Linked DNA regions of Caenorhabditis elegans. The protein of the gene in region 1 purifies or fractionates together with the protein of each later gene. This does not show direct contact. Each region holds a gene or a part of one and is shown on either strand. Other genes may lie near its edges.

The links.
Region 2: the proteins of R08D7.7 (region 1) and F08F8.7 fractionate together in Caenorhabditis elegans (co-fractionation; one large-scale study listed by BioGRID). This does not show direct contact.

The regions. Positions count from the first base shown.
Region 1 is NC_003281.10:8,983,148-8,996,200, forward strand, and holds R08D7.7 (putative sugar kinase R08D7.7), read left to right. Parts: upstream 1-9,057; 5' UTR 9,058-9,077; coding exon 9,078-9,119; intron 9,120-9,164; coding exon 9,165-9,253; intron 9,254-9,299; coding exon 9,300-9,528; intron 9,529-9,660; coding exon 9,661-9,855; intron 9,856-9,917; coding exon 9,918-10,019; intron 10,020-10,069; coding exon 10,070-10,159; intron 10,160-10,205; coding exon 10,206-10,287; intron 10,288-10,413; coding exon 10,414-10,570; intron 10,571-10,849; coding exon 10,850-11,060; intron 11,061-11,110; coding exon 11,111-11,333; intron 11,334-11,378; coding exon 11,379-11,527; 3' UTR 11,528-11,599; downstream 11,600-13,053. Other genes in the region: putative amino acid transporter skat-1, read right to left, coding at 11,841-11,981, 12,033-12,618, 12,686-12,952, 13,001-13,053.
Region 2 is NC_003281.10:7,339,362-7,356,553, reverse strand, and holds F08F8.7 (Ribulose-phosphate 3-epimerase), read left to right. Parts: upstream 1-9,404; 5' UTR 9,405-9,411; coding exon 9,412-9,509; intron 9,510-9,908; coding exon 9,909-10,208; intron 10,209-10,260; coding exon 10,261-10,348; intron 10,349-10,397; coding exon 10,398-10,595; 3' UTR 10,596-10,699; downstream 10,700-17,192. Other genes in the region: F08F8.10 (Nuclear transcription factor Y subunit), read left to right, coding at 1-512, 1,420-1,646, 2,112-2,171, 2,219-2,298; F08F8.9 (uncharacterized protein), read left to right, coding at 2,601-2,624, 2,763-2,971, 3,018-3,135, 3,698-4,065, 4,446-5,246, 5,830-6,032, 6,615-6,677, 7,052-7,146; gos-28 (Golgi SNAP receptor complex member 1), read left to right, coding at 7,390-7,492, 7,863-7,972, 8,016-8,164, 8,211-8,295, 8,347-8,479, 8,829-8,953; F08F8.6 (uncharacterized protein), read right to left, coding at 10,730-10,774, 10,825-11,091, 11,173-11,235, 11,284-11,333, 11,590-11,682, 11,728-11,827, 12,156-12,356, 12,745-12,783; kap-1 (Kinesin-associated protein), read right to left, coding at 12,981-13,085, 13,416-13,616, 13,664-13,731, 14,118-14,320, 14,367-14,491, 14,578-14,796, 15,147-15,501, 15,632-15,719 and 4 more.

The DNA.
Region 1 (13,053 bases):
CACGACCGGCATTAGGAATTCAGTAGCGTCCAACATATCGATGCTACCAAAAAGTGACAGAATTCGAGATGAGGTCGACGTGTGTGTGTGTTGTCTTCGCATGAGGAGAGGGGAAACAGATATAACACAAGTGATAAGGGGGTGGGCCTTTTGTGGTGTGAGAAATATCTCATTTTCGTGAGAATAAGAACACCTTTCTCTCATTTCCGATTAACTGAAGGTCGAGAGAGAGAGTGAATCGAGAGAAATAGAGACAGGGTGGTTCGAGAAGTGGGCGTGGCGTTGATAACTAATAGGATCGAAGCCTTTATGAGAGAAGAAAAATATAAATTAAATGCATTAAAGATGGGATATGAATGACTAGAAATTCCATTGAGTCTACAGATTATAATAATTTCAGTGTATTTCTGATCTCATAAAGGTCCAGACCACCCTCTCTTTCTTTTCTTCAAGGAAACCAGAGACACGATTCCCACGGTCACCTGTTTTCTGTGTTTTGTCACAAGACGGAAAATGCCTTCTCTCAGAACAAGTGCACACGGTCATTCCGGTTTATTTATTCAAAAAAACCGTTTTTTTTTTCAAAATGAAAAATAACCTGACCATCGAAAACAACATACATGACTTCTTGTCAAGGACCAAGAAAGAGCCAAAGAAAAATGCACAAAATGAGGTGCAGTATCTAAAATCCATTCAGTTTCTTTAAGAGGGAATCACATGCGATATGATGATGACTTGAGGATGAGGCAATGATAAGAGAGATAGTGAGAGTGTCAGACAAAAGAGGTATGTGCGCACGCGATTTTACTTTTTTTCTCATTCCAAATGACCAACTATCAATGGAACCAACGGTTTCTTCGCGAAAGAATCGAGACCGTAAAAAGTGACAGTGTTAGAGGGTGTCATTCCTTGCGCCAGATGATCCTATGACGTGAGGAGGACAAACATAGACTACACGTGGGTAAAACTGTGGATTTATTGAAAGTCAAAGTTTGATAGTTGAAAAGGTGGAAAGATCAGTAGCCTCTGACCTGTTATAAAATATGAAAAGAAAAAGGAGACATCGTCGAAAAGCTCATCGTGACGTGAGCATCGGGCATTGGCGACTCGAATTTCGGAATTTTCTCGCTAAAAATTCAAGTCTCTTACGCATGAATTGAATACGAAACACACGATAGCTACGGAGAACACGATAATTCTTTGATATTTTTAGACTATCGAAACTGAAATTTCAGATCACTGAACTCAGATTTCATAGTTTCAAAAAACTTAATTCACTTCAAAAGTGACAAGTATTATTTTGCAATAGGGCACGACTTATTTTCAAAAACAAAAAGTCTAATTTTTAAAAATAAAACGAGAGACAAGTATTGAGGGCAGCGCGAATAATTTCACATATACACACACTATCACTAAAACGAAATAATCAGCTGATAACACATACACACACAACATGAGAAACCTTTCATTTTTGGATGCTTGTTGCGAATACACTGAATACTCCCTCCGAGAAGACACACAGAAATAAAGTGGTAGAGAAGGGGGGCGGGAACAATCTGGTCAACAAAATGCACTTAGTTTGATGAGAAAATAGAGAAAAAACACACACAGAACAGAAAGAACAGAAAGAAATTGAGAATTTTTTGATTTTAAGATTTGGAAAAATTGAAATATCTCAATTTTAAAGAGAGATCAAAAATTGACGTCACGAAAGGAGCAGAGAAGGAGGGAGAAACTGGGCGTGTACAGGAAAGGCTAGTTTTTTGTTTGTTTTTCATTCTTTTGCCGACTTAGGTTGCTTCTTCTTCTGCTGCTGCACTGTCAAAATACGTCGGAAACGATTGCGAGAGCCGAACAAAGTGACGACGAGAACGAAAAAAGAGTGAAGAAACAACAAGTTCAATGAGGAAATAGAAGAAAACGCAAAAAAAAGAGTGAGAAAATAGAGAAAAAATGGGAAGAAACGTAGGCGGAATGGTGGAGGGTGAAGAGAGAAACACAAATGATGAATAAATGCGTTTTGGCTGGTTGCCAGCTGACGAAGACGCGGGAAATGAGAAAGAGCACGTATGGGACAGGAGGGATGTTAGACGGTTAGAGAAGATGAACAGAGACGCGAAATGAACGGATGAGGTTATCTTTTGAAACATTATCCTCATTTTTTGAAAAAATTTCTAATGAATTGTGAGTTCATGATGATGAAACAGGGGAGTAGTACATTGAAAAATGTGAGATAAAGAAAAAATGGAGGCGCGAGACAAGAGAACGGGAAAGTTCAGTAGACAACACAACGGCAGTTGGTTAAAGTTTGTCTGCGATTACGGTAATTTCAGATTTCATCGACCGAACAGCCGTCCGTTTGTAACTTCAAAGAGAACAAAAGCTCAATATTGTAAATAGAAACAAAATTCTCGGAGAAATCAGGAAAAAACTCATAAAAAAAGATATAAATACTCGAAAAAAAATAATTCGAAAATTCCAGAAACAAAAAGTTGTCGTCTATTATGTGTGTTGTACGCAATGGGCATTGCGGACCTATTTTGGCGGAAATTCAAATTTACAGTTTCCTTGTGAACAATTATTAATAAAATGTAAATTTACATGTTTTTTTTTCAAATATTTCTGGCAAAAACTCAAGAAAATAAAACAATAAATGTTTCTTGAAACCGTCGGCACAATCAGCAATTATTAAATAAATGCATGTTGATAACCATAAATCACTGGGATGGTGTGTTTTTCTTCTCAAATGGTGTCTGGTGTCTATTTTATCTCTATTATTATCAAATATCTTACTTTATTTATTTAGAAATAATGACGAAAAGTTTCTCCGAATACGGTAAATGCGCGTCAAATATCTCGCATTGAGTGTAAAACGATTCGAATTCAGATTTTGAAGAATCGTGTAATATCGAATTCTAATCAAGAAAAAGTCTTTCGAGTAAATGGAAAGCAACGAAAAGCACATGACATTGTGAAATATGGAAAGAGAACTGATAAGTGATGGCGCCAAGAAGACCGGAAGGAAGGTGCGAAAAAAAGAAGAAATTGATGGACGAGGACGACGACTACTTGTTTTTCGAATCGGATGAAGAATCGCTTCTTTTTTTTGACTGACGACAACGTCGACGGTGGTGAGCCGATTAGTGTTTAGAGAGAGAAAAACGAAAAACAGTGAGGAGAAGATGTTCGATTCATCTTCGCTTTTTAAGCATATTATTCGCGTGTTTTTTCTCGTTAATACTACTGACATGTTATTCAAAACAACAAACAATAATACGAATGTTTTCTGAAGTGGTGAGAATAGGCAAATAGATATTCATGAAAATAACAAGAAGATGAAGCAATCGTGCGCTAACGCCAAATAAAAAACTCCGCCCCCAAGTGTTGGGTCTCGTTAGGTATACCGCAATTTCAAATTGTTCTCACTGTTTTCGAAGAATTGTTCTTTATTGAAGTTATTTGTTCAAATTTGTATTTACAAATTGATTACACTGAAATCATTTTTACTGAGCCGACAATACCTAATGAGACCCAAATTATAGAGGCGGAGCGTTACAGTTGGCTTTGGAGCGCAATGTACTTCGATTTCAAAAAATAAACAGTTGTGAAAAGAAGAGCGGAAACCTCGGCCAGAGAACTTTGTCGATTTACGGGGGAAATTTGTTACATATAATGAAATCGTCTTTGATTAACAAAACATTAAGGCTCAAGTATACTCCAATTTAACTTCAGAGAAAAACGAGACGAAAAGAGATCAGAAACTGCATCCGTCGAATGAAACACGGAACTTCAACGTGACAAGAAGAAGAAGAAGAAGTTCTGTAGTAAACCTCACGTCTCCCGTCTTCGAAACGCGCGGTGATGATAAACCGAACGCGTCACTTATCTTATCACATTGTATCAATTTCTCTCTTTCTATCCCCATCTCTCTCTCATCATTCACTCTTTTCATTATTTTCTTCTTTCTTTTTTATTTTGAATTTTTCTCCCATTCATTTTTTATTATCCAATGTCTCCCACGAATAACTTCTTCAATTGTGAGGATTTATTATAGGTGATGAACTAAATGGGGGGAAAAGTGTAATCTGATATCTATTGAACGAGAAATAATATAATAATACGCTATAGAACCAAACCACGTGGCGCCAGATTCACATAGGAAATCAGAAACTAGCCTTTCATCAATTGTTAGAAACTATGATTGTTTTTCAAAAAAAAAAATCTTTGCGCTCAATGACGTACCTCCGAACATGTTGCATTTATAGGTTACATTTGATTGTTTGCACACAGAAGCACAAACTTCATCGCGGAAATTTACATTTTGGTAGAGATGGGCTACAGTAGTATTTTTCTACTCTATGGATTCAGTCTAAGTGTATGTACAGTCCAAAAAATTTCAATTTTGAGATTTTTAAACTTTTTCAGTCAGTTGGTAAATTACCAAATTTCCAAAAAGTTAGACAATTCAAAGATTTTTTTGATCAATCTCCGAAATTATAATAAGTATTTAAAAACTGAGTAATTGTCTCTTAATGACTGTAATTGAAAACAATTAACGAATTATCGTAAATTGATATTTTCAATGACAATAATAAAACGGTCAAAAACAATTTTTTTAAAGCTCTATTCCGTAAAAATAGTGAAATCTCTTCAACATTACAAGATTTTACTACTGAAACTATGGAAGAAAGTGAAAAAAAATTATTTTCATAGAAAAATCACCTGTTAGCCTTGAACTAGCGCTATATTGAACAATTTCCAACTACGTTTGATTTTTGTGACGAATTTCGCACAAATTGTTTTATGCGATCAAGTTCTCACACCGGAAAATAGATTCCAACTTTCTAATAAACAGAGTATGACAAAAATCATAATTTTTTAAATCTTAAGTTGTTCATAAAGCTGCAATAAATTTTTGCAACTTTGCCATTAAAGTTTAAAATTATTTGAAACAATTTTCTAGCGGAGAATACTTAAAGCTTGCCAATGTGGTGAGCTTTTAAAAACTAAGATTCAAAACCACCAAACTTCATAAAAAGTAATAATGTTCGCCAAGGTATGAATTCCAACTTTTTTTCGTTTTCCTAATCCCTTCTTGGTATTTCTAACAGTTCGTCATACCCATTGTGTGCTTACAAGATGAAGCCACACAAGATTTATGTGATTTTTTATTATTATTCCGATAGGATTAGAAGTATTATCTTTTAATGGAAAACTAAAAATAATTAAAGATAAATGCCAGACTATGTCTATTATTAAAAAAACATCGCCAGTTAAGAGGCTTATTTTCTGTGTACTTTCTGAAGTGTTACTAGGGAAAAATGGTAAAACGATCTAGGTATAAGTAGTTTTGAAGTTTTAAAGTTAGCATGATTTTTTTAGCGGGAACATTACGTTATTTTCAGTAGCGTGGAGAGAAAATTGCATTCTCAAAAAAAAAAGAAAATGCGTGGCTGAAAAATAGGTAGACGCAGATAGATTACCGGACGGAGGCATGATGGAAAAATGAGAAATGAATGCAAAAAAAGAAACGAAAAACATACTTAGTGGGCGGGGCAACCGTCGTGGGGGCAGAGAGTAGAAAAAACGGGTGGAAAACGGGGGGCACAAGAGGAATCGATAAACAAGTGAAAAGACAACACGATGCATGATTGAGCCCATTTGTGGTAGACGACACACGGGAGACGGAAACGAAGAAAGGGGACGAAGATGAGCATATAAGAGAGATGGAAAAAAAAAGAGAGGTGAGACGAAAAAAAGATGAAGAGCATCAAGAAATGGAAAGAGCAATAGGAAACGACAAATTAGTATTGGCATCGACTGGTACTTGTCTTGATATAGATATCTTGATTTTAGAAGGGGATCAGGCTCATAATTTTGGAAGTCGATGACCAAAAAAAATATTTTTTTAAAAACAAATATTGCCGAATTTCAAAACTTTTGGCAACTCGGCAATTTGACAATTATCAAGTTCGCAAAAGTTTGATTTTTGAAACAAAAAACTCAAAAACTGAGAAAAAAATGCTAATTTTTGTTGTTGTAAATTTAGAGAATTTTAATTTTTTAATCAGAGAATTGAATTTTTTAATTCGATAATTTGGAAATTGCTGAATTGGAAATTTTTTTAAAATTTAGCACTTTCAGCAATTACCAAAAGGTAAATTTTATTGAAAGATTCTCACCTTTCAAGCATAATATCTGCGTACTAAAAACAAATACAGTTTTTTTTAAATTTTCAAAATATAGCTAGGTTTAAAAATTGCCAAAACTGCCAATTGTTGTAAATAATTGATTTCCCTTGTTCAGATATGCAAAATTATTTTTCAAATATTAAAACTTTTATTATTTTCGGCCATTTTGGACTATTAGTAGTTCTTTTTTTATGGCCTCAGTAGCACTACTGAATTGAAAATTTTAAGACAAAAAGCACATCAGGATTTCATAATTTTATAATTTTGTGTTTGATAGAGCGGGATAGGATATTTGACACGCAACTAGTTTTCTGACATATGACTAGACTCCATTTTAAATTTTGATGAGTTTTGACAGCATCCATATATTTGAAAATTTCGTGAACATTTGTATACGAAACTTTGCTTAGGGAATAGACATTTACTTTCACAATTAAAACAGAAATCAGACGGTATCTTTGGTTACACGTTGATGCCAAAAATAGAAAATGTAGTATGTACGGCATACTTTTCATTAACGAGTGAATGACTTTAAGTCAAGTAATTCTATTACCGTATTTCTTCTATTAATATGGCTGCAATACTATTTTTCGATGGTCTTCCCGCTTGCAATACTAATAGGGAGTGCAAGACTATTAGGGAGTGCAATACTAATTTTCAGAACATTTTTCTGACTTTGAGCTTGCTAGTTTTTTTTTGAAAAAGCTCGAATCTTATGTGAAAATTCAGAAAACTTGATTTTAATTGTAACATATAAGTTCAAAAACATTTAATCTCGTAGAACTGTTGTGAAAAACTGTTGCAAAATAAGCAATAAGTGTTATAAAAATCTTAAAATTACTAAAGAGGGTTTGCACCAAAGAAGTAAACGCAAGACTATTAGGGAGTGCAACACTAATAGGGAGTGCAAGTCTAATAGGGAGGCCATATTAATAGAAGATATACGGTAAAACACGAATTGTGTATACGGCAGAGTCTATGTCTATCGATTCAAGCTATGCGGCTTCAAATGTACGAAATTCGTTTGTAAATCGACATAATCTTATAACTACTTCTGAAATTCCAAAAAAAGTAAATCAAAAGTCTCATCTTCTTTTGATTCTGGAACATATCTTTGGAACTTTGTAAGGAACTTTTCAAAAAAATCTTATATTTAAAGAAAAACTACGCTAAACCTTCCTCTGTACCTTCAAAGCACAATACACCTACCTGCGCCTACGTTCTAATGTTTCTAGGGTGAATTTTTAGCCAAAATTAAAAATACGAAACTTTCAAATGTTCAGCTTCAATAGAAATGCTTACACAAATATTCAGAGAATAGGCGGTTTCTTTAGTGAACATTTTCAAGACTATACTCTCCGTATGCAATACAATTTTCTAAAAATAGTGTGATATTTTCCAATTTGAGTTTCATAATTCATAAATCTGATTTTGTCACTTGTATGTAATAACGAGGGGATGCACTAAAAACGAGCTAAAACTGAGTTTGACAAGGAACAAGGAAGGAGTAGATGGATGTACGTGTGTGGACACAGCTGTCAGACAAAACGAACATTGAGCTACATGGTTAGTGATTGGAAACATTTGAGAGCATGTTGAAAAGACAAAAAACTCGGCAAGTTTCAAAGGTTACATTTGTTTGTTAGGGCGCGGTTGAAAAGAGGAAGTGGAGATGAGTTGCGTCAAGTGTTATGTAGATGATTACTGTAGATTTAGTGGCTCTGCAGGAAAGATTCAGAAAACCAGAGAAATGAGTAAAATGCACGGATATACAGTCTAACTCAAAGTTTTTGGGGAGCTTAGACAAGTTTTTCATAGACTTATAATAATTGTACATTGAAACACAGCCAGGCACACGTGCCTTGAAAATAGTTTTATTTCAAATTTTAAAAAAATGTCAATTTTTTTTTAAAGTTTAACACACAACTCCCAACGAGACTTTTTTGGTTGCAAAGGAGACAAAAGATAAAGTGTACACTACGGAAAGTTCGAAACTCTGTGCTTTCATGGAAACTGTGACAAATTAGGTTTACAATGTAGCCTAGCATTTTTCACAATTTGTGAATTTAAAATGATTTCTGTGATTGGAAAATCCAATAAGCATTCAATTATAATTGATTTTTTTCATAATATGAAGAAGATAAATAGAACAGGCCTAACACTCTCATAAAATTGCAACTAATGGCCAAATTGTTAGTTCGTATCTAATTTTCCACATAGGCGAAAATATGCCTACCTGCCCGCCTACAGAACACGCATGAATCGCATAAAAATTTACTTATTTTTTTCATTACAAATCACCCACTTTTCCGTATAATTTGTTGGCATTTCAATAAACCTATTCGAAAAAAATTACATAAAAATAAGGCATTTCTAAAATCGTGAAAAAAAAGGTTTTTGTGAATTTTCATGTAATTAGGTTATCGTCGCATAACTTTTGAAATCATAACTTGGTGAGAAAATGTTTTTTTCTTTGATCATGTTCTTAATCTCCCAATTCCTCGAATAAAATCTATTTTGAAAGTTCTAAATCTCCTAATCTAAATGTACTTTCCTCTGAAATCTCCTTGAATATGGCTTCAAATATGTAGTTTAACTACACTTTCGCTTTGAATTTCAAAATGGAATCCACAACCATTTTTAAAGAAATCAAACATTTAAGGAAAACGTGCATTCTTATACATATATTATGAATTGAAGCCATTTGCTCATTGAGCATCAATAAAATAATATTTGATCCGATGTATCAAAGTTCAGATGTTCTTCAAAGAGAGACATACGTCACAGTGTTTGTATTGTCTATACGATTTTTGTTTCAATGATACCAAAATTGATACTTGATCTATTTGAAAATCGATTTTTACAGAGTCTAAAGCTTTTGGAACTATGAAAGATGGATTTCTAGGCATTGATCTGAGCACACAACAGGTTTGTTACAACTGCTACTTTTACAGTAAACCTTCAAAATTTCAGATAAAAGCAGTAATAATTGATCAAAATGGAAAAGTAGTTCATACTACAGCAATCAATTTTTCAACTCACGAGAAACTGAAAAAATTTGGGTTTGAAGAATCTGATGGAGATTAAGACTAAATACTAGAATTTCAGAACAGAAAATGGTGTACATAAAAACGGGTCTGTTATCACTTCACCTGTAATCATGTGGATTGAAGCCATTGATATTTTATTCAATGATCTTAGAGAAAATGGATGGACAGATAAACTGAGAGGAATATCAGGATGTGCACAACAACATGGTACTGTATATTGGAAGAATGGAGCAGAGAACAGCCTGAAGGGTCTGGATGAGAGCAGGAGTTTAGCTGAACAATTGGAGGTAAGTATACCTTTAAGTTATTCAATTAAAAATAAGAAATAAAAAATTAACTGTTTTATAAAAAAGTAAATAATGCTAATTATGAATAGTTATATTTTTGTTTTCCTTCTCTCTCCACTCTATTTCTTGCAGATGTGTTTTTCTGTACAAAAAAGCCCGATTTGGATGGATTCAAGCACTGAAAAACAATGCCAGGAACTGGAAACGTTTGTCGGAGGGGATCAAGAAATGGCTAAACTAACTGGAAGTAGAGCTCATCATAGATTCAGTGCAGCTCAGATTAAGAAAATTGTGGACGAGAAACAAGACGTTTGGAAGGATACGGAAGTGAGTTTGTGGCATTTAAGTTATATAGATCAACATTTCAAATTCAATTTTTGAAATTTCAGAAAGTATCCTTGATATCATCATTCTTCGCATCCCTTCTAATTGGAAAATATGCACTAATTGAATTGACTGATGGAAGTGGAATGAACCTTATGAATATTAAGGTTTTTAATTTTTGTTTTCCAAATTTGAAATTTGAAACTTGAAATTTCAGACCGAAAACTGGCACAAACCACTTTTTGATTTTATATCGTCAGATCTTGAATCTAAACTTGGAACACTTGTACATCCAATGACTTCTACTGTAAGTGAAATGTTTATTGAAAAATTCAAAAACAAATATTTTGTAGGGACATGTTCATTCTTATTGGACTCGTAGATTTGGGATTCCATCGGATTGTACAGTTCTACCGTTTCTCGGGGATAATCCTTGTGAGTTGAATTTTCAGTAGATCAGTGCTTTATGCCTACTGTCCGTTAAGCCTAGACCGATATCTATAGACGTTTCAGGCCGATATCTATAGATATAATGAAAAAAGCAATTATCCATAATTTCAGCTTCCCTGGCAGGGTTATCTCTACTTCCAACGGATATAGGAATTTCTCTTGGTACAAGTGACACCGTCTTCTTTTTCACACCAACTTTTGAGCCAAATATTGATGCTCACGTCTTCTCACATTTTGCTCCAAACAGTGGTTATATGGCAATGGTTTGGTAAGTTCAAATTATAGGTTATAGATTTTTTTTGAATCCTGGAATTATTAAGATCACTGAAAAAATCAATGTAGTGCAAAACTCAGATGGTCTCGGCATTTGGAGGCAACTTTCTGCCACACGTTAGCAACTTGACAACTTATTTAGTGCCACTAAAATAAGTTGCCAAATTGATGGCAGAAAGTTGCCTCCGAATGCCGAGGTTATTCCACTTCGCCCGAGTAAAATATCTCGGACTGTTCCCTAACCAGTTTTTTTAAAAAATATACATAATTACAGTTTCAAAAACGGCTCACTAACCCGAGAAAGAGCTCGTAACCTGAACAATAGTTCGTGGGACAAATGGGATAAAATAATGAAGAAAACTCCAGCTGGAAATGATAATTATATTGGTTTTTTCTTCGATGAAGATGAGATTGTACCCAGAAAACCAAAAGGAGATTATACTTTTGAGTGTTCTGAGGAAGAATTGAAAAATAAACATCCAGAGGTTTATCTTTTTCATTTATAGTTCTTAAAGAATTTCAAACTTTTTTTCAGAAATTTGCGCGAGCAGTATTTGAAAGTCAATGTCTTTTTAAACTTCTTTACACTCAAAAAATGGGATTTAAGAAATCCGATTGTAGTCGAATTTTGGTAACTGGAGGAGCATCTCGTAATACAGTTTTATTACAAATTTTGTCTGATGTCTTTGAAATGCCAGTCTGCACAATTGATGTTGATGGTTCAGCAGCTCTTGGTGGAGCTATGAGATCTAGATATGGTAAGTTGAAAGTAATATTTAATATATTCCAATCTAAAATTTCAGTACACTCTAAAACTACGAAAACATATTCCCAATATTATCCATGTGACAATGTATCACTTGCCTGCCAACCTATTTCTGCCAACGTGGAAGTCTACAGTAACCTATTCAAGACGTTCAAAAGTCGTTTCGACGAGTTCATCAAACAATAGACATTTTCATGGAATTCAACAGGAAATAAAATATACTAATATAATTATAAATGCAATAAAAAATAACTAACCAGTTCGTTGGGGGGACAAAGTGACTAGTGTATGTTGGGTGCGGGGGAGGGAAAATGAGAAAATGGGAAAAGTTCGAAATGTACATAAAATAAAACATGGAAAAATGAGAAAAAGCGAGAAGAAAACTATGTACCGGTGTTAGGATAGAATTCGAGGTGATGGAATGATCGAAAAAAGTGAGAAAATGTTGAAAAGTGTGACAACCGGGATGAATGGTATGAAAACTGATATGTCAACAGATTTAAGGATCCGGTTGAGAGAATGATTGGATAATTGCATGAATATTTGTGTAGACTCCGGCGATAATGGCAAATACTCCAATAGCCATGACGACGAGGTTGATGAAGATCTTTGTCATACGTTGACGATATGTCAGAAGTCCCTGGAATTTTTTTTTAATTTAGTAAGATTTTTAAATTGTATTCATATTTACCTTCCAATCGGTCCAGAAGGTGATCATTTCGAAGAATGGTGGGAAAATTAAAGCACACAGGGCACCACTTGTAACTCCGACTAATGGAATCATGATTTCAAGTTTTGGAATCAAAACTGCCATAAGATACGTGACAAGCACCCAGAAGACACGGAATCCTTTATCTGACAGCCACTTTGGAACATTTGGGAATCGGGCACCGAATTTCCGACGGAATCCATTGAAGAACATATCGTAGACGACGTACATTGCAATGGAATTACCAAGAAGAGATTGAAGCATAAGGAATACATTTACTGTTGAATAAAGACCTTCTTTTGGTACATTCGTTGTGATTGTTGGAGCAATAGAATCTCCAAATCCAGTGTATCCGAAAAATCCGAGAGCTGTCATGAATGCAGTACAAATGATCATAGTTGTCGACAGAACTCCGAATGGGGCGAGGAAAGCGGCCGGGTTATCAAGTTTATTCTCAATCGGTAGAATCATAGTTTGACCTTCAAATGCGTACATGCTCATTCCAATCATAGTAATTGTCCCGGTGAAGTTCGTAGCGGCGGGTAGTTTGTCCCACTGATTTGGCTGTCTGAAAAGTTTTTGATCAGTTATCTAACTTCGAAATTGAAAATAAATGTATCAAATTCAACACTTACTGAACAGTGTACTGCATAATAACCGCTGCTCCAATAACAAAGAATACTGAAGAGACGAGAGCAAAGAATGAGACTATACGCATTTCAGTGAACATATTGGTGAGAAGAATGAAAAACAGCGATACTGTAGCCATAAGAATCATTTGTTGGTGCCGCGTTCCTCCGAGATGATCGCCAACGAGATTTACCAAGTTATCAGAAATGAAAAGAATCGCGACACTGCACATTCCCAACTGGTAGAACAAAATAGTCACATTGACAAAATACCTGAAAAATATTGGGTTTTTCAACTGTATAGAAATTAGAAACCCCTACATGACTGCTTTGCTGTTGTTCCTCAAAAATCGAATATCACTATAGTCACAAAC
Region 2 (17,192 bases), 1.6 Mb from region 1:
AACGACTATTCGTTCTTTCCTGCTCCAGCGCCTTCCTCTTTGTCATCCTTCAATCCATTTGGACAAACTAGCCCATCTTCAGCTCTAACTACTGCATTTGGAATTCCACCGCCAACTACATATTCATCTCATCAACAGAGTTCTACTTATTCTCCAATTGTTCAAAGCATTTCAAGTCAACCAACCGCTGGATTTACAAATCCTTACAGTCAGCTAGCCTCGAACTTCAGTACAAGTTCATTCGATTCTTCGGCTCCAGTTTCTCCAGTTCCGACACAAGTTGCACTGGAAGTTTCTGAGCAAGAACTTTCTAGACAAAAAAGACTTATGGAGATTGAAGAAGAGCTAAAGGCGATCAATGGAAGAAAATTGCAAATTCAAATGGAAGCTGAAATCAAACAAGCAGAAGCTGAACTGGCTCAGAAACAACAAATGATGGAAATTCGTGAAAGAGAGCTCAGGGATAGAGAGTATTTCGAGATTGGGCGTAGATCACAATTAGAACAGAATAGGTATATTTTTTAATTTGAAATTGTTATTATTTTCAAAGTTTATTATTTCTTTTTTTAATTTCAAATATGCCGTATAACAGACGATGTTACCTAAAGTTGCTTGTCAACTGATCTAACCCGATGTGGTTAGATTTCCAAACTTTGAAACAGTTTGATGCAGATACCGCAATTACTAATTGTCAGTTATCTATGATACATTATACAGTGAAGATCTGTTAATGAACTTACTTGTCGGTACCTTCTCGACGACAACTTATCATTGATAAGAAAGATTGGAAGAATTTTTAAGAAACTGTATATTTACAATTTCCTATAAAAATATCTGTTCCATTCCAAGGCAACAAGCAAGATGTTAAATAGACATGGCCTGATGCTGCCAGAAATTCCTGATCGCAGATTCTGCCATATTTATGTGAATATTCATATGTATATCATGTATAACAAAGAAAGTAACCAGTTTGTACCTGTGTATACCTTCTTGGAAAACAGGCGGTATTTCTGATAATCAACTTGTTTAATCGGAAGTTTTGGAATTTAATTTTAATAACTCCCTACATAAATGTTTTACGAAGTAGTGCATATGCTGAGTCATTTTGCAGTAAATTCATATTTCTGCTGAGAAACTCACACATGCTCAGCTTCTCAAATTATACAACAATTCAGAACTTTCTCTAAAACTGAGGTTTGAGAAAAAATTCATGATATGTTATCGAGTAGCCTATTCCCGAATTACTATATTCATGATGCATCATGTGCTAAATTGCTTCTCACGGAGTTCAAGCATGAAAGTCGAAATTTGAATTGTTCAATATGTTCTTATGAATGAATTTGAATGCCTACTGAAACATGTAGTCGAAAACTTCATCATTTATAAAGAGACCATATTTTAAAGTGAGAAAATTTCCAGCTATGCTTCTCAATACTGTGGCCGTTCAGACTACAGTAATCATCACTCCTCCTATCACGATTCTCATCATCCACAGGATGACTTTTATTATCAAGATGGCCGTCCGATGAAAGCTAATAAAAATCCGAACTCGTTCGGTTCTCGGCGCCGTGGAAGACATCACTCAGGGCAAAATTTCGATGTAGATGAACATGAGTATTATGACGATGATCATGGAGCACGCGAAGGTACAGAACATATACCACACTAAATATTTTGAAAGAATATGATTATAGTAAAGTGTAAATTTAGAAAAAAAAACAGTACCCAAGTTAGATTCGTGTGTTTAACCGAATCTTCTAATTGGTACTATTATTCTGTAGAGCCTGCCAATATTTGAGCTTTTGTTTCTCAGTGGAGATACAATTATCTCGTGATGCTAATGTTTCGGCTTGGTTTTGATTATTCAATCATACCATTAAGACCACAGGAGCAATAACTATATTATGTGGTGTACTGTAGAAGAAACAATTCACCATTGCACATTTGAATTCAACTTTGGAAATTTTATTTCGAGGTGTGATTTTCTTGTGAGTAAAATTGTAACTACAAAATTTTTCATATCTGAATTTTTGCAGTTGATCATTTTCAATATTCAAATTACTATTTATTGAAACGTACTCCCTTTTCCTGATAAGTTGGATGTTTTCCAGGTTCATCCTCTTGGAATCGGCCGGTTGACTCCCATCATTATCAAGGAAAAATTAAGCCCGGTAATAAGACATAACTTTGGTTTGTTGCAAGCAAGTTTCATTTTCAGCATTCCCAAAAAAGAGTCGCGGTGGGAATAAGAAGTATCCTAAAAATCAATATCAACACGGAGGAATGGAATATGACTAGAAGGAATGTAGTGGCGATTTCCATTTGTAAATGTTTTAATACTAGTGTTATAAATGTTATGCTTTGTTCAACTAATGAATAAATTATAATTTTTCCCTTCTTTTCCCTGTAAACTTGTAGACGTTGAAAAATCGTCTTTATTATATATTTTTTTAACTGTTCCCTTCTAAACTTTGCCACGTTAAAGTGGTGCGTCGTGACGTCATAGTGTTTGCGGGCGGTGTCGTAAAGTCTGTTGCACAGCTGTACTTACTACAGAAAACGCTTTAATTTCACAATTTCAGCTGAATATTCTTCCCAAAATGTCATCGGAATGGGATAATAAGGTAATTTTTCTGTTTACTCACAACTTGCGATAACTTTTAAATTATAAATTGTTTTTAATACCAAAAAATCATTAAACTTTTTTTGAAAATGTTAGACAAAAAATAGAAAATGAATAATCGATATAAAATGTTTTCCAGATAATCCCAGTTATCGGAGTTCCACTTGAAGCACGCAAACTCCCATCTGCGCGAATTCCCAAGAAACCCAAGGAGACCGATGGAAATTCAACTGAAACTGTGGTCAACTCTACTGAGAAGCCTGAAGAAAGGAAGGAAAAACCTCCGAAACCACCAAAGCAAAAACAGAAACAAAAACAAAATCTAAACAACAAGTTTTTGAAAAATTTGTGAGAAAGTCTTTAATTTTTTCATTTTTTATTTTGTTTTTCTCAGAATCACCGATACTGGTAAACCGGCAAGTATGAACGGGCTTTTTGTGGCAGAAGAGGAGGCTAAACTCACTTTACTGGAGAAAAAGGCAATGAAGATCCATATTGAAGAGAATACATTGGTAAGTTTTTTTTTGATTTACTACTTTAAAGTAAAATTAAAAATTCGCTTTAAATGGCAGAATATGGACCTTAATTATCTAATATAACTGTTAAAAAGTTCTATTATTCAAAAAAATTCAATTTTTCAAAATTCAAAAAAATTAGTTGAATGTTTTGAGATTTTCGCGTTTTCTGGCTATATTTATCGATTTTTCTCCATTTTTCTGTAATATTTGACTCAAAACACAGTTTGCCAATTTTTCAAACATTTTTATAATAGAAAAATTATAGCTTTTTTAATGGCAATTTTGAAGTTTTAGCGAAGTTTTATAGTTATTAAGGTTTCTTTACGGAAAGACTTCTGAAAAATAGACGAACTATGTCGCAAATCAAGAGATTAAGATAAACGGAAAAAAACCTTTTTAATATAGACTGAAAGCGCAAAAATATTAAAAACTTGCACAAAAAAAAAGACTAAACATTTTGGTATATTTCATAATTTTTTAAACAGTTTTATTCGATCATTGCTATCCATTTTAAGCCAAATTTGAAAACTCTACCTTAAAATAAACGTTTCTACAGAGTGATCCCCAGTTTCCGACTTATACAACGAAGCATCAAGGCAGAATAAAGTTCAAATGCAGATTGCTATGGCTTCTCAACAAGGAAACATTTATGAAAAGAGCTAATAAACCTCATCTCGCCAATATTGTGGTAAAACAAGCACACATGGAAGCTGTTCCGCCGAAACAGAATGTTAATCAAAAGAAACAGATGAAAAATCAGGAAAAAAACAAAAACGCCAAACCACTGATGGATATCAAATTTGATGAAAAAGCCAGATCATTCAAGCAAAGAACGGGAGAAGATTACAATGGTGGTTTTGATATTTCGTCGAACTATCAAGGTTCGGAAGGATCCGGAGGATATCAACATATCGGAAATACTTGGTAAGTCGTGATTAAAAAACTTTACAAGTTCGGACAACAGGGCTGGGGAAAAAATTACAAAAAAATTTTAGGTGTTGATCTTGGACCAAAAAAATACGAAAATCAAAACATTTAAATTGGTTTAAAAAAACCAAAAAGAAGTAGAGTCTATTAAAGATTTATAGATTTCGAGAAGACTATTAAAAAACCACATTTTTCTTTTTTTAAAAAATTGCAAATTATGAAAAGTGTTTAATGTACTTACTGAAAGTGTTTTTTTGGGATTTTTGTGTCAAAAATTAAAAATTTATCAGCCCTGTTGACAATCGAGCGATTAAAATAAAGAAAGCAATTTTTGAATAAAAAATTATTAATTACAAAATTTCAAAGTATAATTTCAGGCCTAACACCGAGAGTCAATGGAATTACGATCCTTCAACAAATGGATATTCGACTTTCCTTGCATCAACTCCAGACACTTCTACGACTTATCAGCCATATCAACCATCAGAATATGCCAATTTTTCTCGTCAATTGGAATCTTCGTCGAGTTCTGTTCCTGTATATGGTGGAGCTACGGATCCAACACAAACATCAACATCTTCTGTCATTTCGTTTGGTGTTGCAGTGCACGAACCAATATCTGAATCCTCGGCATCTGCTTATGATGATCCAACAAGAAACCATTGGAACCCACAATCTGCCACGAGTGACTATTCAACCGTTCCAACTTCTGGAACTTCCAATGTTTTCCCATCGTACCAGACATCAGAATATTCTTCTTTTCCAAATCAAACTCCATCTTCTTCTTCTTCATATCAACAGTCTTCACAATATACTCCGATGGTTCCAGATTTGATAAATCAAGCAATTAATGGTTACACAACTCCACAATATAATCAACCGAATCAGCAAGTAAATCAAGATTTCAACACGAATCAATTTTCCGCTTCTCTTGCTTCTCTCCATTCACAACCTTTGGAAGCTTCCGAAGATGAACTTTTGAGACAAAAAAGACTTATGGAAATTGAGCAAGAGCTTCATATGATCAACGCGAAGAAAATGCATATGCAAATGGAAGCTGAAATTCGGCATCGAGAAATGGAATTGGCAAAGAGGCAGCAATTGATGGAGCTGAGGGAAAGAGAGCTCAGAGATAGAGAATGTTTCGAGAATGGTAGAACTCATGCGGGTCATACAGGGTACGTTTTTGAAATAATTGAACAAGTCCTTTTTTAATACTATCCCATATTCCTGTTTTTTTTCATATTTTTCTGCCTTCTCTTTTGAAGGATAAGTTGATATGAGAGATTCCACTAAATTCCCAATATATTCGTCTAATTTTTTTGAGATGTAACAATCAATTGATTTTTCTTTGATTATTTAATTGAAATTAACCTTCGATTACGATCACAGTTTTCAACTTTTCATTGTTTCTTTCGAATTCAGAAACATCGGACAGTGACCTCTAGTTCTGAAGTAACTGAATTCGTTCTGGCTAATCATTGAAAGACTCTGAACGAAAATATTTGAAAATGGGAAAATTGTGGCTCAGAATGTTATAATCGATCGTTTGAGATTTCTAATCGCCATCTGTAAAGCTCTGAGATACTCGTTTAGAATTACATCAAGCTTAGGCTTTGTGAAACATTTTGTGTCCATTCACAAAAAAGTTTGAGGAAATATATTTTGTTTTCTACTTTTATTCCCCCTATTCAACCCCCCCCCCCCCCATATCTTGTAGAATTTCAGATTAACTGATATTCTATTATCCCCTCTTTTCAGCCAGCACAACTATGATAATCGAGAATACAGTTCCCATCACGAATCTAAAAATCCATCTGTTGGCGGCAACTATTCTTCGACTTCGCGGTCGATAAGCATCAACGAGGATCCCGCTGCTTCTCACTATTATGGACAACGAGTCGAAAGAAAGAAGAGACTGGGAGGAGAATTAGCGAGACGACAGGGAAGAGTCTACGAAGAAGGTACAGACAAACGATTTCACATGATGACGCGTTTTCTTTCTTGGATTTTCGATTTTTCTCTCTTTCATAATGTTTTTTGGTTATTTTTGCAGTCAGTATTCAAATCGTAACAGAGGGTTTTTCCAAAAATTACGATTAGAACTTCTGACGCTAATAATCTTCAAATTTGACTATTTCTACTCCCCATCATTGGACTTCCACGTAGGCGTCAAAATGCCTGCCTCGCGCCTCAAACCGGTGCCTTCTGCTAAAATACACATGAATTTAATTTTTTCATTTCTCAATTTGATTCACATTAAATTGATTGAAATTACAAAATATAAATTCGTAAAGTAATGTCAGAATGCAGAAAGAGGCGAGAGGCTGGAAGGTTTCAGGCAGGCACCTAGACCTTCAAACCACGCATGCCTACCTACCAAGATGTATAATACCTGTTCGATAATTTAACGATTTTTGAAGCATAAAATCAAAATTTGTTGGTTTTAATTACTGGGCTGAATATACTCATTCCTGATTCAAATAATTCCCAGCTGATTCCCCAAATCTTCTTATTTCAAATATCCTCATACTTTCTATTTTCAGTTTCAAGCCCAGGCCCATTGAAGCGATCGGCTGATCAAAGTAGAGCAGGAAGTATTCAACCAGGTAATCAAACAAAAAACTTTTTTCAATCATAACCTATAGGTCTATAGTTGCAAAAAAATCGAGTTTTGATGCAAAGTTACAGTACCCGGTCTCACGCCTTTCAAGAGTACAGTAGTTCGCCACCCCCAGTTATTTAATACTTTATCTGCCTTTTCATTGACATTGCTCTTAAAATTTCTTTGAAAACAAATATTAAATAAAATAATTTTTAAAAGTATTTGATGTGATCACATCAAAGAAACGAGATAAATAGCAAGGAAAATTCGCAACTACAGTAATCCATAAAAGTTCATAAATGTTTCTGTCGCGCCATGACCGGATCCAGTAATTTCTTATCAAAAATGGCAAAGTGGTAATACACATATTTTTTTCAGCTGAAGGTCCCAGCAGGAAACAACGTCGTCGTAACAACAAAAACGTTCAAGTAACGGTCAATATGGAAGATATCAGTGATGACGAAGAAGTTTGATTCACAATTGGCTGGAAAACTTTGTTTTGTTCGAAATCAATTCAATCGTAGAATCGTTATTGGAAAATCTCGTTCTTTTTTAATTCAATTTAAGTTTTTGAATGAAGTTTTACTCATAACTTCCGTTTAATTTTATTTGTTGTTAATTTTCTAATCGTCAAAATATCGATGAATATATTTATTTCTCATAGTAGTGACCAACATTTCAGTCACTCGAAAAAACAATACTTTCAGGAACACAGAATGTCAGAAACTTGGGAAGCGTTGCGGAAGAAAGCCCGAAGCACAGAAAATTCCATCGATGTCAAGCTCGTCTCCCTGAATAAATTAACGGCTAGCTCTCATGGTAAGTATTACCAAGAATTTTACGATTTTATCCTCAGAAAATACGATACCGGGTCTTGACACGAAACATTTTCATAAAATACAAAAAAGTGTGCGCCTTTGAAGAGTACTGCACTTTCTGAATTGTGTTGATGCGGAAGTTTCAAAAAAAATATATGTATTTATTTGAAAAACCCAAATATTATATATTCTGAAAAAAAAACTTTAAAAAAGAAAAAGAAACTAATGAAAAAACCAAAAAGGGCATTTATAAAGAACATTTTCGTGTCGAGACCGGGTACAGTATTTTTGGCGTTTGAATAACCAACTTTCGAACATGTCTCTCAGAAAAATATTTAATAAACATGTTTCCTATTGAAAAAATATTTCAGGCGGTTTTGACATCGACGAGAAAACAGTTTCCTCAAGACAAACGAGCTTCAAAACAGTGACAACAGAAATCGAAGGATTGATAGAGCAATTGACAAATATCAATGATGATGTTAGTTTATTTTCAATTTTGTTTTTAAATTCGTCAACTTCAGATGAATGACGTAGCTGGTGCTCAATCCTCGGCATCTTGGGCTAATAATCCAGCCATTCAACACACACTTCGACGACATCGAGAAATTCTTCGAGATTACGGTAGTGAGTATCGACGTGCAAGAGATAATGTTGATCAGGTATTACAGAGGTATGAAAAATACTTTTTTTAAATTAAACAATACGATATTATTCAGAGAACTCTTGTTGAGCAGTTCAAATGAAAATCGTAATAATCCTATACTGAACAACAGGGCTCGTGGATATGATATGTATTTGAAGGTATTTTTGGGAAGAATTTCAAGAAAGTAGTACTAATTAATTTAATTTCAGGAGAATGACCATATAAACGCTTGTGATCGATTGTTAGATGAACAGTTAGAAATGGCAATGTCAACGAAAGAGAATATGGCCAGACAGGGAATTAATCTACGTGGAATATCAACTCGGCTTCATCATATTTCAAGTAATTTATCTTTAAAAGGGAAACAATTAAAGTAAATCTAAGTATTTATGAACATTTCTGATAAAAATGTTCCTGAAACACCCGATCTTTTTTGAAATCGTCAATCTAGATTAATTTAGACCTAATAAACTTGAGTTCAAATTTCTTGCAATACAGTTTTTTGACAAAAAATCTTTAAAAAAAAACAACAAAAAATTTATTTGAAATTTGGACCGAAAAACAAAAGTTAGAATTTCTCCAAAAAGCCGAAAAAATTTCAAAAAAAAATTCCTCCTTTCAACTGAGACTCAACATTTTTGAAAAACAGTTTTACAAGCTGCATAATAATTATCAAAACAACTTTTTTTAGAAAAATATCCTGCAATTAACAATTTGATGCAAAAAATCAAAACGAAAAAGCAGAAGAACACACTGATCCTTGCTGCCGTCATCTCATCGTGCCTTATTTTTACAATTTTCTGGATTATCAATTAATCAGTTTCAAATATCAAAAAAAAACTCAAAAACTTTTTCGAACTCCGATTTTCGTATTTTTCGAAGAAATTTAACAATCGGCAGTCGTAACTTTTTATCAAGTTTTCGAGTTGTTATTACTTTGTGTCAATGAAAAATAGAAACTGAATGATAAGAATAATCGATTTTTGTACTATTCCCTTGTCCCTTCATACAACGCACACCACTTTCATTGTGATATTCCTCACCGTTTTTCTAATTTTTACTTGTAAATAATTTTCTCGTTTTGTAATCTTTCGAGTATAATGGAGTTCTTGGCTTTTTCGTTTTTTTCTCGATGTGAAACAATTGGGTATACATATTTATGAATTAAAGTATTATTTAAAGATTTTTTTGAAAGTTTACAGTTGAAAGTTTAATTCTATAACTTTATTTGTTCATTGATTCTGGATGATAAAATTTATTTATCTAGAATTCAGATGACCCTCCGTCCATTTGTGTGTCCATCAATTCTGAATGCCGATCTTGCATCATTGGCTTCTGAATGCAAGAAACTTTTAGCAGCTGGAGCAGATTGGTAAGGTGATCTTTAGAAATTCTGAATAGTTTTGACAACTACTTTCATATTTAAATGTCCCTTTAGATTTCAAAAATCTAAATGGGAACGCACAAAAACCTCTTCTGAAATCAACATGGAAACGTACTCCACGGCCAATTGGAAACGCTCCGACCCCCCGAGATTACGGTCTCGTTAGGTATTTGGCCACAAAATCGCAAATTGAAATTGTTTTCATCTTCAAACACAAATTGGCAGGACTAATTGAAAACGCTTAAACTATCAATGTCAATACCTAATGAGACCCATGGTTCGAGGGGCGGAGCGTTTTCATTTAGCAGTAAGTAAGTAACGTTTCCACTTGGATTTTCAAAGGATTTACTTTCTGCGTTCCCATAGTATCCAGCTCCCAACTTGCAGGCTTCACCTCGACGTGATGGACGGTCACTTTGTACCAAACCTCACATTCGGTCACCCTGTCGTTGAATCTCTTCGTAAATCTCTTGGTGCTGAACCATTCTTCGATGTTCATTTGATGGTCTCTAATCCTGGACAGTGGGTTGAACCGATGGCAAAAGCTGGTGCCAGCCAGTTCACATTCCATTATGAGGCTGTAGATGGTGATGTGGCAGTCAGTGAATTGATCGAAAAAATCAGAAAAAGTGGAATGAAAGTGGGATTATCGGTCAAACCGGGAACTTCTGTTGAGCATATTTTGAAGTAAAATCAAAATTATATTTCAATCTAGATTTTAAATTAAAAAACTTTTTAGACATGCTAATCATTTGGATAATGCTCTTATCATGACTGTGGAACCAGGATTTGGAGGACAAAAGTTCATGGAAAACATGATGGAAAAGGTATTTATTTTGGTTTTTATTTGATACGAATAAAATTTATGGCTTTCAGGTTCGCACAATCCGTTCAAAATATCCAAATCTGACTATTCAAGTTGACGGAGGAGTAACACCTGAAAATATTGAAATCTCTGCTCAAGCTGGAGCCAATGCGATCGTGAGTGGAACTGGAATCATCAAAGCTGCAGATCAATCTGTCGCCATGACAACAATCAGAAATGCAGTTGAAGCTGCTATTTCGAAGTGCTGATTTTCTTAATTACTTGAATATTGTTTTGAATTTTGAAGCTCATTTTTTCAGAGCTTTTTGAGGTTGTGATGTTAATAGTTAGTAAATGATTGTCAATTAAAAAATTCAAAGCAGCATTTATTTATCTATAAAGTTCAGATGGGCTCTGCAGTTCCTAGCTTCGGGGTCGGAGCAGGTGTCTGAAAAAAGAGCATTACAAAACATCATGGACCATTCTTCAGTTGCTTACATTTTTAACACTTTCCTTCTCCTTGCTCGGAGTCTTCTTATCCTGATTTGATGGCAATACTCCAGTACTTCCAATTGTATCTTTACTCGGAGTCTTTCGTGGTTCGATATTTCCTGCCTCTTGGCTCATTGCAGTATTCAACGACGGCTCCTTGCTTCTTCCTCCAGCATTTGCAGTCTTTGTAGATTGCTTCGGAGTCAACATGATCTCACGAGACGGCTGCTTACGATTCGGAATTGGAGGAGGAGAACGTGGCAATGTCTTTTTCTGAAAAATTGGTTGTACTTTTGCTCAAGATCTTGGAGTACTACAAAAGCTAAAAAATATTTCGAAAAATAAAAAACGAACCAGATCAGTCTCACTCTCCTTTGGTGTCTTCTGTAAGCTGAGCATGGCCGATTTTGGAGCAGGCTGAAAATTGATTGAAATGAATGAAAACACTCGAGTGAACATACAAACCTCTTCAATAGTTCCAAGTGTCATAGTCTTCGATTTACGAGTATCTTCATCTGAAAATTGATTTCGATTATTTGCAAGAAATAGACAGACACTTCACCAGTCCCTTTCCTTCTGCCTACCTAATACTTACTTCACACCTGCCTGCGTACGTGTCCACCTCATCCCTACATCTTACGGCTTTGCCGACTTGCACAACCCCCCTCAATACCTACTCCCTGTCTATCTGACCACCAGGGCAACCAAGTTGCTGGTTGCCGAAAATTGGAGCGTATGGCAACTAAACAATAACCGAGTTCTGATTCTTACCTCCCATCGTGTCATAAACACGTTCAATATCAGATGGTGGAAATGTGACATCTTCTGGATATCGATTATCTTTTTTTCCTGGTTTTGTTTCCTCTGAAATAATGAATTTTGGAGAGACAGATACAGAGAAAGACATACGTTTTTGTCCATTTGTCGAGTAGTTCACATTGACAGAACCCAAATGATTAGGATGACAGATTTGTTTGCAGATTTCGATTGGAAGGAGAATTTGCAACGCCTGAAACTAGTAAAATTAAATAACTTTTTATGAAAACTTTTCTATCATAATTTGGGGCATTGACCAAAACCAATTTTTTCTAAAAATAACCTTATCGAATGTTTATTTTTGTATCGGAACATTATAGAAGTTCGAAACTACAGTTTATTCGTTAGTTTTTCATCATTTGACTTGAGAGTCGTGATAGTACTTCAGAGACTCTTCGGATATCTACAGTAACCTACAAGTGTATTGTATGTGTGAATATAATGTTTTGTAGAAGTATCCAAAAGAGAGGTGTTCAATTCACAACTATCGAAAAGGGCAATTTCTGAAGAGTTGAACTTGCCTCGTCAATCAAATCGATGATTGCATTATCCAAATCCTGTATCGTACTCCATAGTTGAAATGCGTTGAAAACCGAGTAAATGGTACTCAACAACGCGATGAAGCAAAGTGCAGAAGCTACAATCCATAATCCAAGTGCCAGTTTATTATAATGAAAATATTCACACTGGTGTTGCTTGAGTAAGTTATCGATCGTTGTTGTCTGAAAATCCGATTAACATGAGAACTGCTAATGAGGTTCCCAGCCACGATGCAACTAGATTCCACTTCAAATTAAACGTGTCAAGTATTAAGAAACCATCGGTGCATGAGAATGTCTACTTTCTGGCGCGAAAATGGCGGCAGGAGAGATTCTTCGGATATCTAGAGTAATCTAATTGTAAGAACATGCGGCGATGAGAATTTAGGTACCTTCGCTACGAGATATTCCCGCGCCAAAACGGTAGGCATTCTCATGATCTCATGGTCTCTTAATAATTTCTCTTATTTTCTTCTGTGGCATTTTTGAGTCCTAGACTCTTTCAAGTACTATATGTGTCCCCATTCACTCCACCTTTAAGATTCACAAGATTGAAAGTTTCACAACTTACCGAAATTATTGCAGTTGTAACATTTGAAGAATTGTTCATTTTTGAATAAAATGAAGCAGTCACTTCGAGGAATGAAACACTAAATGTGAAACACTACATGGCCAGAGAAAATTTGACCTTTCAAAAGATAAATATTTATACGTGAATTTTGTTTTAATTTTTTGCATATAAATCAAAACATTCATTTATTAAGTAAAAATATATAATTTGTAGGTTAAAAAAACAACAAACAAAAGTTAAAAAAGGGGCTCATTCATATCAAATCCATCATCATAGTGATCAAATTTGAGATCAGCTCCAAAATCTTCATCATCGTAATCTACGAATTCGCTGTCGTCTCGCTGGAAAAACGATTTTTAACCGGTGACTTTAGAGCCTATATTAATGTAATGTAACTCAAGCTGCATTACTGCTATCCTGTTTCTACCGTAACACTCACCGTAAACTACTAAATAGATTCATTTAAAGTAATGATGTTTTTGATACATATTTTTAACGGGATAGTCAGAGTGTCTTCGTTTTTGAAAGTATTTTTATACAGAAATAAAACTAGGAAATGCTAGTGACGTTAAATTTCCAAAACCTTGTATAGTATATTTGTATAGTGACCAGTATCATAATATTATTTGTACCAATCAACGAATAAATTGTTAAAATAACTACGATCATACCTCAACCATCTCCAACCATTGTGCATTGTGCCATTTGAATCTCTCTCCAGCTATCCGTTTTGCCCATTCTTTTGAATGTTCACCCATTATCAAAAGGGCATTATCGCAAACTTCTCGAACCACTGCGTTTGCATCGTGCATCAAATCGATCATATGGGCTCCGAGAGCTGAATCTTGAGTCATCAGGCGAGCAGATAGTTCCTTTGAAAAATTTATATGAGAGTTGAAAAAACTCTAAAACGTTATACCTTGTGCTTTAAAAATTGCAAGAAAACGTAGAGAAGTTGCACAACAAACTCATCATCAATTTGGCATGCTGAAAAAAAGATTGCGATATTTTTCAGTAATTTATTTGTATTCTCGATACACCCAAAAAAGATCAAAATGACACCAGTAAAACACTTCAAAAACGTTAGATTTTAAAAAAGATTTAGCTGAAGATTTGTTAATTTGCCAATTACTTCCAAAAATATGTACTTTTTGAGTAATTTTGAACATTTTTACATGTTCGATTTCCTAGAATGTTCAAATACAATTGAAACACAACTAGTTTCAATAATTTCCATTTTGTAATTTACCAACTGGCAAAGCTCCACCTTTAAATCTGATTGTGAGGAAAAATGAACTTTTATGTTTTCAAAAGTTACTGGGGTTTTATTATGAAACAAACTCTTAAAAAATAACTTAAATTTATGAACGTACATTGTAATAACTGCACAAATGTATCAATCAAAGGAGCCAATAACCTAGCTGCATCCAATTGCCTAGCCATTGTTCCACAAGCAATTACAATTTGTAGTTGGAGAGGTTTTATGTCTCGAAGTACTGTCACTTCTTCGGATTCATCAATTCCTTCTTGAAGTTGAGTTTTCATCCAAGGAACAAGATTTTCAGATTGAATTATTCTATAATTTAAGTTTTTGATTGGAATTCCGAACTCAAAAAGCTCACTTTGCCCACGGAGCAACTTTGAGCTCAGCAACTGTACCCATGCATTCTAAACCAAATGAAGATTTTGACTCTGAGTTGTCTGCTCCTTCATTTTTTGCAATCCCGATAAGAGTTTCAATCCACTTCTGAAAATTCTAAATTTAAATAACAACGTTCATTTTTTTTCGTTATCTATTTTCACCGTTCAATAATAATTCAGTTCTCAACTTACCAAAAACATATTCTGCGTCGCACCTTCGTGACTTGAAATCGCTCGAACAACCTTTATGAGCATTAGATCTCTCGAGTTGATAGACATTTCCATAAGAAGATCTAATCCTTGACCACGTTGTCCACATACCAACTGAGCATTTCGTTTTTCGAGGCAAATATTCAACAGGACTGCTTTTGTCACTTCACTTCCTGTTCCACTTAGCACATCTTTCATTAGCTGGAAAAATGTTTTTTTATGAATCATATCCTCGTAGCAAACGTTGGAAAAATCGGTGACTATTTGCTATGTGGCGTTATATTTAGGTTTAACAAAACATAGACCCGAGGTAAGTAGATTTTGTCTGAATTGCTATTTCAATAATGTTCAAACAATTTCAAAAAAAACAATTGATTCACAAATAAAGTAGCTCAAACGACAACCACTATTCGAATGCAAACTTGAAAATAATATCAAAAAATTTGAAAAGTTTTAGTATAGGATTGGTTTTTAACAATTTTCCACTTGCGTTTTTCCATCTTTAATGTATAGTAACTTTTCGACTATCTCCTTTGATTGACCCAACTCACCAATTTAATAGCATCGGTGTATGCTAACATTGCTTTTGCATCATCATTACAACTTAATAAATACATCATATTCAATGCCTTCGTGTCACTGTCCAATAGAGATGCCATATGTGGTACAAGACCTCCATTCACCATTTTTGGTAGATTTTTGGAGTCAAATGAAAAATTGAAAAGAAGCATTATAACTGCTTTTCGCAGTTCTGGATCTTGAATTGGAAATAGTTTCAAAAGTTTTTCGATTGTTCCATTTTGTTCCATTACAATCTTATTTTCATCAAAAATACTTAATTTAAGAAGAAACTTGATAGTTGCAGTTGTTAGTGAACTTGTAGATTCTGATGACATTTGGAGGCATCTAGAAATGTAAAATGAGTGAATGTGGTGTTAATTATTAAAGGTGGAGAGATTAAAAAAAACTGTGAAAAGTGTTACTATGATATTTCAGCATTTTACAATTTCCTCACTAACTGCGCCTTTAAACTCACTTGACAAGAAGTGCCACCAAATTTCTTCGGACCATTTTCAATTCGACACTGATATCCGTGGCTAGATTGGTAAGAAAAGTGACACATGCTGGAATTGAACCATTTTCAATGTAATATGTACAATTGCAACAAACCTGCCAATAGCATCGCCTGTTTTCGAATGGCTGTTTTTAGTTTTCTCAATGTCTCTTGATCCGTCTTTTTCATCTCAGCAATCCAAAAATCGTACCGTTTTGTTTCATGTTCCATTGCATTTACACATAAAGTACCAATCTGCAAATCTAGCTTTTAAACGAAATTCAGGTGAAGTGAAGGCGTTTAGAAACCATGCATGCCTTGTGATGAAGCAGAATTCCGTGTAAACATGAAAACTTGGAAATATTCACAAAAAGGTTCATAATATTGGTTCCAACTTCAAAGTGTTTCTTCCAGTCTTCTCGGAATACTCTTGCCAGTGCCATCATAAGAGTTTCTGAAATGTAGTGTTATTTGAACGTTAACTTTAATACATAGATTACGTCCGAAAATTATGGTCATCGGGTAAGCTTTTCTAGAATTACCTACCATTGTTCACAAGCTGTGTGAGGTTTTGAGGATTTTTTGAAAGTTCATAAAGTGCCACGGCTCCTTTGTTTTTCTCAACAGAAGTTTCACCGTAGAAGCATTCTATGTACTCCTGAAAGATACATTTTTAATTTCAAAAGTAGTTTTTCAAGTTCTATTTGGTTTTAGGCTCTCACCATAATAAGAAATCTGTTTTTATATAAATGTTGAATGATGTATAGAAAACCATTCAAAGATTATTTTAAACTAATCAGATTATTTTCGAAATAAATTTTTAGATTCTAAAATATTGGTACTACCGGATACAAAAGCACTCAAGCGAGCTTGGTTTTGTTTCAGCTGCTCCATTTTAGAACATGTAACAATTAATGTTTTCAATTTTGATATAGCCTATGCGTATTTGTAAAATAAAACCAAATGCTCCTCAACTTTACGTAATCTACAAAATGTTTTCTTATAAAACGTACATCTATTTTCCCTAATTCTGCACTAATTGTAGGACTATGAATAGGCCTTCGATCAAATGAAACGGCCGAAGAACTTCTTGATCTCGCACTTATTCGTTGATTTCCTCTTTTTTGAATGTAGAACAAAACCTGCTCCAATTGACTTCGTGACGTGGCAGGAATGAAAAGACATTTTTGAAGAATAACATTTGATAAAGCACGAATATCTACATCCAGACTCATTTCTTTCAAGTGGATTCTGTAATACAATTTGGGTAATTTTGTAGCCGTACAATGTTAGATGCAGGTGACATTTTGAGGTTCTCATATATATATATATTCGATTATTATTTTTTATCAGTTATTTTCCAATATTCTAAAAATTAAAGAGGCATGGATTCATGGGGAATGGGTCTCACAGCGAGCAAAATGCTCAAGTCAACACTTTTTGCTATTTTCGGTCGTGCGTTTTCTGTTATTCGGGGTTTTGTGAGCAATTATTAAATAACTTTTCTGTATCTTGATTGTGGTTTTTGCAACAGAAAAAATTT